Linked DNA regions of Saccharomyces cerevisiae S288C. The protein of the gene in region 1 interacts with the protein of each later gene in a pairwise test. Each region holds a gene or a part of one and is shown in the gene's direction. Other genes may lie near its edges. The genes, in order: GYP5, PIN3 and LSB3.

Region 1 (5,138 bases):
TTCTCAGAATACAATCTCCTTCCCTTCTTCTGTCGACGATGTGCAGCGTACCACAACAGGTCCCACCATATATCATGGCATCATTGAAACAGCAAGGCTCTTACAAGTTTTCACAAAAATCTATGAACTAGACAAAACAGTAACTGCAGAAAAAAGTCCTATATGTGCAAAAAAATGCTTGATGATTTGTAATGAGATTGAGGAGGTTTCGAGACAGGCACCAAAGTTTTTACAAATGGATATTTCCACCACCGCTCTAACCAATTTGTTGAAGGAACACCCTTGGCTATCCTTTACAAGATTCGAACTGAAGTGGAAACAGTTGTCTCTTATCATTTATGTATTAAGAGATTTTTTCACTAATTTTACCCAGAAAAAGTCACAACTAGAACAGGATCAAAATGATCATCAAAGTTATGAAGTTAAACGATGCTCCATCATGTTAAGCGATGCAGCACAAAGAACTGTTATGTCTGTAAGTAGCTATATGGACAATCATAATGTCACCCCATATTTTGCCTGGAATTGTTCTTATTACTTGTTCAATGCAGTCCTAGTACCCATAAAGACTCTACTCTCAAACTCAAAATCGAATGCTGAGAATAACGAGACCGCACAATTATTACAACAAATTAACACTGTTCTGATGCTATTAAAAAAACTGGCCACTTTTAAAATCCAGACTTGTGAAAAATACATTCAAGTACTGGAAGAGGTATGTGCGCCGTTTCTGTTATCACAGTGTGCAATCCCATTACCGCATATCAGTTATAACAATAGTAATGGTAGCGCCATTAAAAATATTGTCGGTTCTGCAACTATCGCCCAATACCCTACTCTTCCGGAGGAAAATGTCAACAATATCAGTGTTAAATATGTTTCTCCTGGCTCAGTAGGGCCTTCACCTGTGCCATTGAAATCAGGAGCAAGTTTCAGTGATCTAGTCAAGCTGTTATCTAACCGTCCACCCTCTCGTAACTCTCCAGTGACAATACCAAGAAGCACACCTTCGCATCGCTCAGTCACGCCTTTTCTAGGGCAACAGCAACAGCTGCAATCATTAGTGCCACTGACCCCGTCTGCTTTGTTTGGTGGCGCCAATTTTAATCAAAGTGGGAATATTGCTGATAGCTCATTGTCCTTCACTTTCACTAACAGTAGCAACGGTCCGAACCTCATAACAACTCAAACAAATTCTCAAGCGCTTTCACAACCAATTGCCTCCTCTAACGTTCATGATAACTTCATGAATAATGAAATCACGGCTAGTAAAATTGATGATGGTAATAATTCAAAACCACTGTCACCTGGTTGGACGGACCAAACTGCGTATAACGCGTTTGGAATCACTACAGGGATGTTTAATACCACTACAATGGATGATGTATATAACTATCTATTCGATGATGAAGATACCCCACCAAACCCAAAAAAAGAGTAAAATGAATCGTAGATACTGAAAAACCCCGCAAGTTCACTTCAACTGTGCATCGTGCACCATCTCAATTTCTTTCATTTATACATCGTTTTGCCTTCTTTTATGTAACTATACTCCTCTAAGTTTCAATCTTGGCCATGTAACCTCTGATCTATAGAATTTTTTAAATGACTAGAATTAATGCCCATCTTTTTTTTGGACCTAAATTCTTCATGAAAATATATTACGAGGGCTTATTCAGAAGCTTCGCTCATATAACGAAAAAAAAGGGTTTGGATCGAACGTAATTGAGATTGATTAGTTAATACTCAAAATAAAACAGCTCCTACCACCAGTGTAAAGTAGAACGTTAATAGAGCAATGTCTTCAGACAAATCTATTGAGAAAAATACAGATACGATCGCCTCTGAAGTTCACGAAGGTGATAATCATTCGAATAATTTGGGTTCAATGGAGGAAGAGATAAAATCAACGCCATCAGACCAATATGAAGAGATAGCTATAATTCCAACTGAGCCCCTCCATTCGGACAAAGAACTAAATGACAAGCAACAAAGTTTAGGCCATGAAGCACCCACAAATGTATCAAGAGAAGAACCTATTGGGATCTCTGGTGATGAAGACACCCAAATCACTGAACAAAACGTTAATGAACAAAGGCAAGAAACGAGAGAACCTAGTTCTGAAATTGATTTAAATGAGCCATTGGATGTTGAAAAAGATGTGACAACGGATGTGCAAGCCCCAAATGGGCTGAATATTGAAAAAGAATATGATGCAGTCAAAGAGAATGAGAAGGTTTACGCTGATACGAAAGAGGTTGTTAGTAGTCCAGAAAATAGGGAAGTAACTGGAAAAAATTCTGGAGGTGAGAAATCATCCTCGAGTAAATTTCTCGATGACGAATCTGGTACTACGACAGCTGCAAATGCGAACGACATTTCTATAAGTAGTGAAGTAACCCCAGAAAGGTCGTCAGAAAATGATAATAACCAGATTCATATTACCAATGAGGTAGCCGCAGGAATAAACTTGAATGAAAACAAGGAACAAAAAGCTGCTATAGAAGATGGGCCCGTAACAGCAGAGAATCTTTCCTCAGAAACTGCTAGGAAAGTACCACCTATACCCACACAAATCATAAATGAAAAAGGTGATAACTCAAGCGAGAACGAGGTTTCCGCAATTCCCACTACATCTTCGCCACCATTACCACCTAGACAAAATGTTGCGACATCAACGTCACCAAAATTACCTCCAAGGGGCAAACAAAGGGAACAACCACCGAAGACGAAGAATGCTGTTCCACCGCCACTAGAGGAAGAAATGAAGTCAGAGAAGTTCCGTAAAAACTTCGAAGAAACTAAAAGAAATAGTTATCATCATGTTCCTCTCACTGGTTCCAAAACTGCGCAATTAGAGTCCACTGCAGAAATTAATTTGATCGCTAGTCGTTACCGCAAGACCAGTCACCATTTGAATAAAGAGGGGGAAGAAACTAGAGAGTCGTTGCAGGAAGGTCAAAGCTTTTTAAAATCGACATTTACGTCATTTCTGGAGAACTTGTCCGAGTATAACGAAGTGGAGAATGTTAATGAAGAAGATAGAGAAATGTTTAAAATTGATTGGTCCTTCTGGACTCAAGTAGTTAATGATTATGCTACAGTGGCAAGCAACGAACCAGAAAATTTAGAAGCCCATGTTACCAATGGGATACCACCACAAATTCGAGGTATCATTTGGCAGCTGATGGCGAATTCCAAATCAAGAGAAATGGAAGATATATATGAAACTCTATTGGATACCGAATGTCTTCATGAAGCAACAATACGTAGAGATTTAAGGAGAACGAAGTTTGTGGCCGAGGACAAAATGGAGTCACTATACAAGGTAATAAAGGTGTATTCTGTTTATGATCCAGATGTTGGGTACACGCAAGGCATGGGGTTCATTGCAGCGCCGCTATTAATAAACTGTGAAAACGAGGCCGAATCTTTTGGACTACTCGTTGGATTAATGAAGAATTATGGATTAAGAGAGCTTTTCTTACCAGGAATGCCTGGGCTGATGTTAATGCTTTATCAATTTGATAGATTATTAGAGGAGCATTCACCTTCTTTGTACAATCGCTTGATCCGTGAGGGAATTAGCTCCACAATGTACGCTACACAATGGTTTTTGACATTTTTCGCATACAAGTTTCCGTTAGAGTTTGTGTTAAGAATTTTTGATATTGTATTCGTAGAGGGTATTGAAGTGCTTTTGAAGTTTGCTGTAAATTTAATGTTAAAGAATGAAGAAACTTTAGTAAAATTGAGATTCGATGAACTATTGGATTTTTTAAAGGACGAACTCTTCAATTACTATTTAATGGGAAACCAGGATGACGCTTCTGTAGTGCAAATGGGATTGTCAAATGGGAACTCATTTAAGGGCAATGATGACGGCACTTTTTCCTACAATGTCGATCTTTTCGTTCATGATGCAATGACAGGTGTATATATCACACCATTAACATTAAGAAGATACAGGGGAGAGTACGTAGAAATCCATGAAAAAGAGCAAAAAAAAGAGGACCACTACGAATCACTAAGAATTCAAAACCACCAACTACAAAGAGAGGCGCAGAAGCTAGAACACGACTATTCAATTTTGAACAAAGAGAATATCAGCGCCGCTAACGAGCTGATTCAGAACAGATTGAATATGGAGATGCTGTTGGATGAAAAAAACGACCTGATAAATACAATCACTGATATCAAAAGCCAAATTGAGGAAGAGATTCGCAAGCAAAATTTACCGAACCCGGACGCGTCACTACCAAAGGCAGATCTGAGAGAAGACTTGGAAAGGACCATATCCAGGAACAATGAGGTGATGAGGGAGAACGGCCAATTAGAGGAAAGAATCACTGAACTGCAAGCGGAAATCGATGAGTTGATTAACATCAATAAGGAGCAAGTGTCCACGGCATCGTTATTGGAACGAGATTCTAAGGCTAAAGGGAGGAAAGGCTGGACTGGTTTTAAAAAAGTTTTTAAATAGATGTATAGTTTTGCGCTGTGTGCACATTGTGTGCCTCTCCAATTTGTGTTAAAAAATGCATCACGACTCGTTTAGACAATGTTGTTGTTGTTGTTTTTTTTTTGACTGTATTTTCACCCGTACATCCACGGATGTGTTGGGTTTTTGTTTCCGCTTTACCGTGCGGGAGACGACCATGACCGAGAGGTCTGGTTGCGAAAGACGCACATACCGCGTGCGCGGAACTTTTTCATTGGGTTGCCAACCAAGGCTGTTCAGGGAAGCCCGACGAGGGAAGCTAGCATGAATGCACTAGGAGAGAGAGAGAGAGAGAGGCAGAGGAAGAGGCACATCATTGCATTTCTTGAATATTCGTTTTAATTAGCGTTAAGTCTTAAGTTCGTGTATTACCATAGTCAAAACAGAATAGAGAAGCAAGGATAATACAAAATGGCTGTCAAGACTGGTATGTTTACCTGAACTAATGAACTGTAGAGCAAAAGCAAAATGAACTGAACCACTAAGCCAACAACAGAAATACAAACAGGATGAGATTAAGCTCCAGAGATATGCAAACATCGTTTATATCCTGCACCCAGCGTTGCAGTACTCCGTGGAGTCTTTGTTTATTTATTTTGCTCGTATACTACGTGAGTACTAGTGTGCTTGTTACTAA
Region 2 (2,819 bases), 760 kb from region 1:
TCCTCTTCGTCTTCCTCTTCGTCTTCCTCCCCCGAAGATGAACCATACCCGCTGACTAGCCCAGTGTGGCTTTCCTGTAAAGGGGATTTTACGTCACCCGCCTCTTCGCTGATCTCATCTTTTCTCTCAACTTCGTCTTGATTTCTTTTAAATAGATGAATCTCTTCGTTGCAAGATTCGAGGATTTTATCAATGTCCTCCTCCCGCATAGTGTAACCTCTGGCAACGCCAATCAGAAGAACCAGTTTTTCCTTATCTAACGACTCGATTAATGAGCGACACCTGCTGTCGTCCTCTTGACTGATGTCATTTTTGAACTCCTTAGAGTCATCATTAAAGTAAAGTTTTGTACCATCGTTGTATATTATTAAGTGCCAACCATTAACCAGTTCTAATGAAAATGTTGGCTTCCTCTCTGTCTGTGATTCTTTCGCATTGCTTTCTAGGTTAGAGCCTTTCTTCAAATTAGGTTTTTCCCATCGAGACTGCTTCGTGTTCTTATTATAGTAATACTTTTTGCCTGCAGGTGTCTTAAATTCCTGCCATTCTCCACGCATGGCGATTCTGTGTTACTGAACTGTCTTTCTCTTTATAATACATATCAGAATCTCTTTCGGACACTATTTCCTCTTTCTTCAATTATATTGTTTTCTCTTTCATTGCCGAAGAAAAAAAGAAACATACTGAAAGTTGATAAATATGCAATAATAAAACCTTTTCCTACTCTTGACGCTTCTGTATAAGATAAAAACTGCCAACAAGATCAGTTCCAACTTCCTGCCGTATTATGAGGTATGTTATTCATTACCAAGACTATATCCGCCACGGCTGGATGCAGGCATCGCTCCCTGTGGCTTAAGAAAATAATAGGCACAAAACTAACAATAAAAACATCCACTACTCTGTCGCATGTTCCCTGTGCTCAGATCATTCGTAACAAATAACGATATACCTGTTGGATATGTAACGCCAAAATTCCCCTCATTATACTGGCCCATCAACAACTCGAAGTATAATACTGCATTCTTATACTATATATCTGACATTTGGAAATTTTCGCTGTACTGGACTTTGATCTTTAATGGTGCATTTTACGTTACTGCTGGTGTGTATGCTAGCTTGACCCATAGAAAGAAGGCTGGAAGTGTATGGATATTCGTCATGTACGTCTTATACGGAGGCGTTCAAGGCTTGACGACTGGTACAGTTATGGGGTTTTTAATAGGTGCGATCTATAGATCTGGTTTATTTTCTATGTCTACATGGGTCCCACTTTGTTGCGCAGTAGTCCAAATCCTTTTCGATGTGGTGCTAAGTTATTCCATGGTTGGTTCCGTTATGTGAAAGCTTCTGTCAAGAAAAAACAAGAAGGGGTTTACTGATTTGATGATAAAAGTTAGCAGCAACTTTTGAATGAGAATGTGCCATCCTTCACGTAAAGAGCCTAATACTCTTTCTTCAAAGCGCTAGATTGTTCTAAACGTTTCTTTAACTATTGTTTTCGTTCGTGCAGCGTGATTAACCGAGCCTCCTTCGAGGCGGGGATGGATATTGTAAGCTGCATATATAGTCGAACCTCAAATCGGTTGAGACAATAGGCAAAGTGCCCACATTGGCGCAAACACAAGAACATTAGGAAAGAAGGCAATCTGATATTTCAAAAATGTCTGCTTCATTGATTAATCGTTCCTTAACAAACATTAGGACAGAACTGGATTTTCTAAAAGGGTCAAATGTCATTTCAAATGACGTTTACGATCAAATAAATAAGAGCTTGCCGGCAAAATGGGATCCTGCCAATGCACCCCGCAACGCCAGTCCAGCTTCCTTGGAATATGTCGAAGCTCTTTATCAATTTGATCCTCAACAAGATGGTGATTTGGGCTTAAAACCAGGTGACAAGGTCCAACTTTTAGAAAAATTATCTCCAGAGTGGTACAAGGGTAGCTGTAATGGCCGTACCGGTATTTTCCCAGCAAACTATGTCAAGCCAGCTTTCTCTGGGTCTAACGGTCCATCCAATCTTCCACCACCTCCACAGTATAAAGCTCAAGAATTACAACAAATCCCCACGCAAAATAGTGCCGCATCATCTTATCAACAGCAGCCATTTCCTCCACCTTCCACAAATTATTATCAGCAGCCTCAACAACAGCCGCAACAAGCTCCTCCTCCCCAACAACAACAACAACAACAACAACATCAGAGCTCACATAGCCACTTGAAGAGCTTTGGTAGCAAATTGGGTAATGCCGCCATTTTTGGGGCAGGCGCTAGTATTGGGTCAGATATTGTTAATAATATCTTTTAAGTCGTTTTTCTCTTTATATACTTCATTCATTTGTTCTCCATTATGGCCAAACCTTTCATAAATTGAACGAAGTTCTACCTTTGGTGTTGTTATCCCTAGAATTTTTTTCTAATGAGTATGAATTTAAGTAACCTTTTTTTTTCTTTTTTTTTAAACAGATATATCGTATATGGAGGATAATAGTACATCACTTATGATATGAGCGAGAAAATCTGTCTTTTTAGTAAAAAAGTATAAAAAGTAAAAAGGCGTCGATTTTGCGTTGATTTCTTTATATTTACGTCTGTACAAAAAATACATTAAGAATATATTCAATATCTTCCCTTTCTTCTTCCCCAGCAGGCTATACGCTAATGGATTAAAAACCTGCCATATACGTGGTATATCCTGTTGACGACATTTATATGAGCTCCGGAGTCAAGATTGGTATCCACCAGTTCCTCAACGTCCCTAAACCATTCTTTCTTTCTTGAACGCGGGATCAAAAAACTTCCCAATTTGTATAAGT
Region 3 (3,884 bases), on another chromosome or scaffold:
ATTTTAATCTAGATGGAGGGTAAAAGCGCGGAAACATGAGTGTAAACTGATTGTGCAGATATTTACACATTTGAGTAGCTCGTCAAGGGCAATCAAGCTTTCAATCTTGCCGGTTTCATACATGTTGATAAGCTAATGAAACTACTAATGTCTTGCTGTAAAGTAAACCTGTATCATTTCTGTTTGGAAGATTTCAACAAACGTTCGGGCGTGTGGCGTAGTCGGTAGCGCGCTCCCTTAGCATGGGAGAGGTCTCCGGTTCGATTCCGGACTCGTCCATTTAAATTTTTTTATTTTTTTTGTCAAATCTCTCTATCTATAGAGATAATCTCTATCAACTCAAATGATACTGGATATTATATGTACATTTTCCATTTCCCGTACAATCTTTCCCTTTCAAACACATTTTAGTACTTCTTGATACGTACAATTCAGTAAAAATCCTCGAGGTCATGCACTCACACCATTCACACTCCGGTGACTATAGTGCCCACGGTACGGACCCTTTGGATTCCGTGGTCGATCAAGTGGTCAACCTCAACTTTCACACGTACTGTTTGACAGAGCACATACCAAGAATTGAGGCCAAGTTTATATACCCCGAAGAGCAGTCATTGGGCAAGAATCCTGAGGAAGTCATAACCAAGCTAGAAACATCGTTCAAGAATTTCATGAGTCATGCGCAAGAAATCAAGACTCGTTATGCTGATAGACCCGATGTGCGGACTAAATTCATTATAGGAATGGAGATCGAAAGTTGTGACATGGCTCATATCGAATATGCAAAGCGACTCATGAAGGAGAATAATGATATTTTGAAGTTTTGTGTGGGTTCGGTCCATCACGTCAACGGGATCCCTATTGATTTCGACCAACAACAATGGTACAATTCATTGCATTCCTTCAATGATAATTTGAAACATTTTCTCCTGTCTTACTTCCAATCACAGTACGAAATGCTGATCAATATTAAACCGTTGGTCGTGGGTCACTTCGACCTTTACAAATTATTTTTGCCCAATGACATGCTAGTAAACCAGAAATCGGGCAACTGCAACGAAGAAACCGGAGTTCCTGTAGCTTCACTGGACGTCATCAGTGAATGGCCAGAAATATACGATGCAGTTGTAAGAAATTTACAATTTATAGACTCCTATGGCGGCGCAATTGAAATCAATACGTCCGCATTAAGAAAGCGCCTCGAGGAGCCGTACCCCAGCAAAACCTTATGTAATCTGGTCAAGAAGCACTGTGGATCCAGATTTGTTCTAAGTGATGACGCACACGGCGTGGCGCAAGTGGGTGTGTGCTATGACAAGGTAAAGAAATACATAGTAGACGTGCTACAATTAGAGTATATTTGCTACCTTGAGGAAAGCCAATCACCAGAGAATCTGTTAACTGTAAAGAGATTACCCATTTCGCAATTCGTTAATGATCCCTTTTGGGCCAATATATAATCTGATTATCTTGAACTGGATGTACATAAAAAAAAACTGTCATATAAACTCATGTACAGCTGTGTAGAAGTGAATGATCTTTCCAAGAAAAAAATTTCACACTGAATTGATTGAATTGACTGCTCATTTTATATTGGGTGCCCAAATTGTCTTTCTTTATTGTTCGTTTAGTAGCAGCACCCTGTTTGCTCGCCGACTCGGCCGCATCTGGAAGTTCAACATGAAAGAGTATAAACTATCGAAGAAATCTAGAACGGCTTTGGATCACGGGTGGCAAAGAAATCAAAAACAAAAGCTGTATCACACGCAATGGGTATTAACAATCCTATTCCAAGGAGTTTAAAGAGTGAGACAAAGTATGTTTTATACGGGTTTGGCTGGGAAACCTTTAAAAAAGTTCTCCCTTAATTTGTTCATCATTTACTAACTAGTAATAAACAATTAATAAAGAAAAGCAGCGAAGATTTTGGCTAGTTTTGTCAAACCAAACCAAGTTTTTGGTGCGGACCAAGTCATTCCTCCAGACGTTTTGAAAAGAGCTAAAGGGTTGGCTATCATAACGATCTTAAAAGCAGGTTTTCTATTTTCAGGTAGAGCTGGTTCTGGTGTGATTGTCGCAAGATTAAAGGATGGTACTTGGTCAGCTCCATCTGCCATTGCCATGGCAGGTGCTGGTGCCGGTGGGATGGTTGGTATAGAATTGACTGATTTTGTTTTCATTTTAAATACTCAGGATGCTGTTAAGTCGTTTTCTGAATTTGGGACCATCACGTTGGGTGGTAACGTCTCCGTTTCTGCTGGGCCTCTTGGTAGAAGTGCAGAAGCAGCTGCATCAGCCTCCGCCGGTGGTGTGGCTGCAGTTTTTGCCTATTCTAAGAGTAAAGGTCTATTTGCAGGGGTTTCTGTGGAAGGTTCGGCTATTATAGAAAGAAGAGAGGCTAACAGAAAATTTTATGGTGACAATTGTACCGCGAAAATGATTTTGTCTGGTAGGATAAGACCGCCTCCAGCAGTTGATCCATTGTTTCGTGTTTTAGAGTCCAGGGCGTTTAATTACAGACCCTCCAACGGTGGTCGTGGCAGTTTCGATGACGACGAAGACGATTACTATGACGACGACGATTACTATAATGACATTCCTAGTTCATTCAGTTCTACAGATGCTTCCTCCACTAGACCTAACACAAGATCCACAAGGAGAAGAGCCCAAAGCGGTTCTCGTTATACGTTCGACGATGATGATGACGATGATGATTATGGTACTGGCTATTCAAGGAATTCAAGACTGGCTCCTACCAACAGTGGCGGTAGTGGTGGTAAATTGGATGACCCATCTGGAGCTTCAAGTTATTATGCCAGCCACAGAAGATCAGGAACTGCTCAGTCAAGGGCTCGTTCTTCAAGAAATCGTTGGGCTGATGATGAATACGATGATTATGATGATGATTATGAATCCGGGTATAGACGCGGGAATGGAAGAGATAGGACAAAAGACCGTGAAGTCGATGACTTGTCGAACAGATTTTCTAAATCTAGAATCTCGTCCGCTTCAACACCGCAAACTAGTCAGGGCAGATTCACTGCTCCAACATCCCCATCCACGTCTTCTCCAAAGGCCGTGGCATTATATAGCTTTGCAGGAGAAGAGTCCGGAGATTTACCATTCAGAAAGGGTGACGTGATCACAATTTTGAAAAAATCAGATTCTCAAAATGACTGGTGGACCGGAAGAGTCAACGGTAGAGAAGGTATATTCCCAGCAAATTACGTTGAACTAGTTTAAAAAATTTGAAGGAGAGTAAAGAATACGAGAAACGTTATTGATTTACACTTATACCTTTTGCCTTACAGTTTATCAGCACTCGGACCTAAATACATATCATATAGCAGACGGCGTCCCTCTGTCTATCCTTTTAAGAATTTTTTCCATAATAATAATTTTTAATAATATCTAAATATAACGAAAAAGATTGAATTAGTGTAAATAAAAAAAATAAATAAGGAAAACTCTAGCTAAATTAACAAAGAGACATTCATCTTTTAAATCCTAACGAGCTTGCAGCCTCTTCAATTTGTTTTTGCAATACACCTTCATGATATGGACTACTATTTAGCAACGATAAAAATTTGTCCAATATTAACACATCGCGATTCCAATAAGTGTCGAATATATACTCAGCTATTCCGTGCACATTTTCGTCTCTAGTGGCACTTGGAAATCTCATGAAATCTATACCTCTTCTTACTTGCTTTTCGAATGTTTCCAAAACTTTCTTATTGAAATTTTTATTCTTTATTAGTGATCTTGTGCTGCTATTCATTGACGAAAGATCTCTCATGTGTGGGGAGTTCAAACTATTCGCATGTGAGTACTGGTAATATGGGGTAATTTGTGGATGAGAAGAGGTGTGTATATTGCGCATT

Evidence for each region.
Region 2: the proteins of GYP5 (region 1) and PIN3 interact in a two-hybrid assay, tested with the Saccharomyces cerevisiae proteins (2 studies listed by BioGRID).
Region 3: the proteins of GYP5 (region 1) and LSB3 interact in binary tests that used the Saccharomyces cerevisiae proteins (3 or more experiments, as listed by UniProt).

What each region holds. Positions count from the first base shown.
Region 1 is NC_001148.4:76,014-81,151, reverse strand, and holds GYP5 (GTPase-activating protein GYP5), read left to right. Parts: upstream 1-1,798; coding exon 1,799-4,483; downstream 4,484-5,138. Other genes in the region: galactose-responsive transcription factor GAL4, read left to right, coding at 1-1,441; 60S ribosomal protein eL36 RPL36B, read left to right, coding at 4,913-4,928. UniProt on the Saccharomyces cerevisiae protein: GTPase-activating protein which accelerates the GTP hydrolysis rate of YPT1 and SEC4. Involved in ER to Golgi trafficking and polarized exocytosis.
Region 2 is NC_001148.4:832,902-835,720, forward strand, and holds PIN3 (Pin3p), read left to right. Parts: upstream 1-1,663; coding exon 1,664-2,311; downstream 2,312-2,819. Other genes in the region: URN1 (Urn1p), read right to left, coding at 1-557; MAY24 (May24p), read left to right, coding at 788-792, 927-1,344; NCA2 (Nca2p), read right to left, coding at 2,662-2,819.
Region 3 is NC_001138.5:201,319-205,202, reverse strand, and holds LSB3 (Lsb3p), read left to right. Parts: upstream 1-1,769; coding exon 1,770-1,816; intron 1,817-1,910; coding exon 1,911-3,243; downstream 3,244-3,884. Other genes in the region: HIS2 (histidinol-phosphatase), read left to right, coding at 453-1,460; PES4 (Pes4p), read right to left, coding at 3,494-3,884.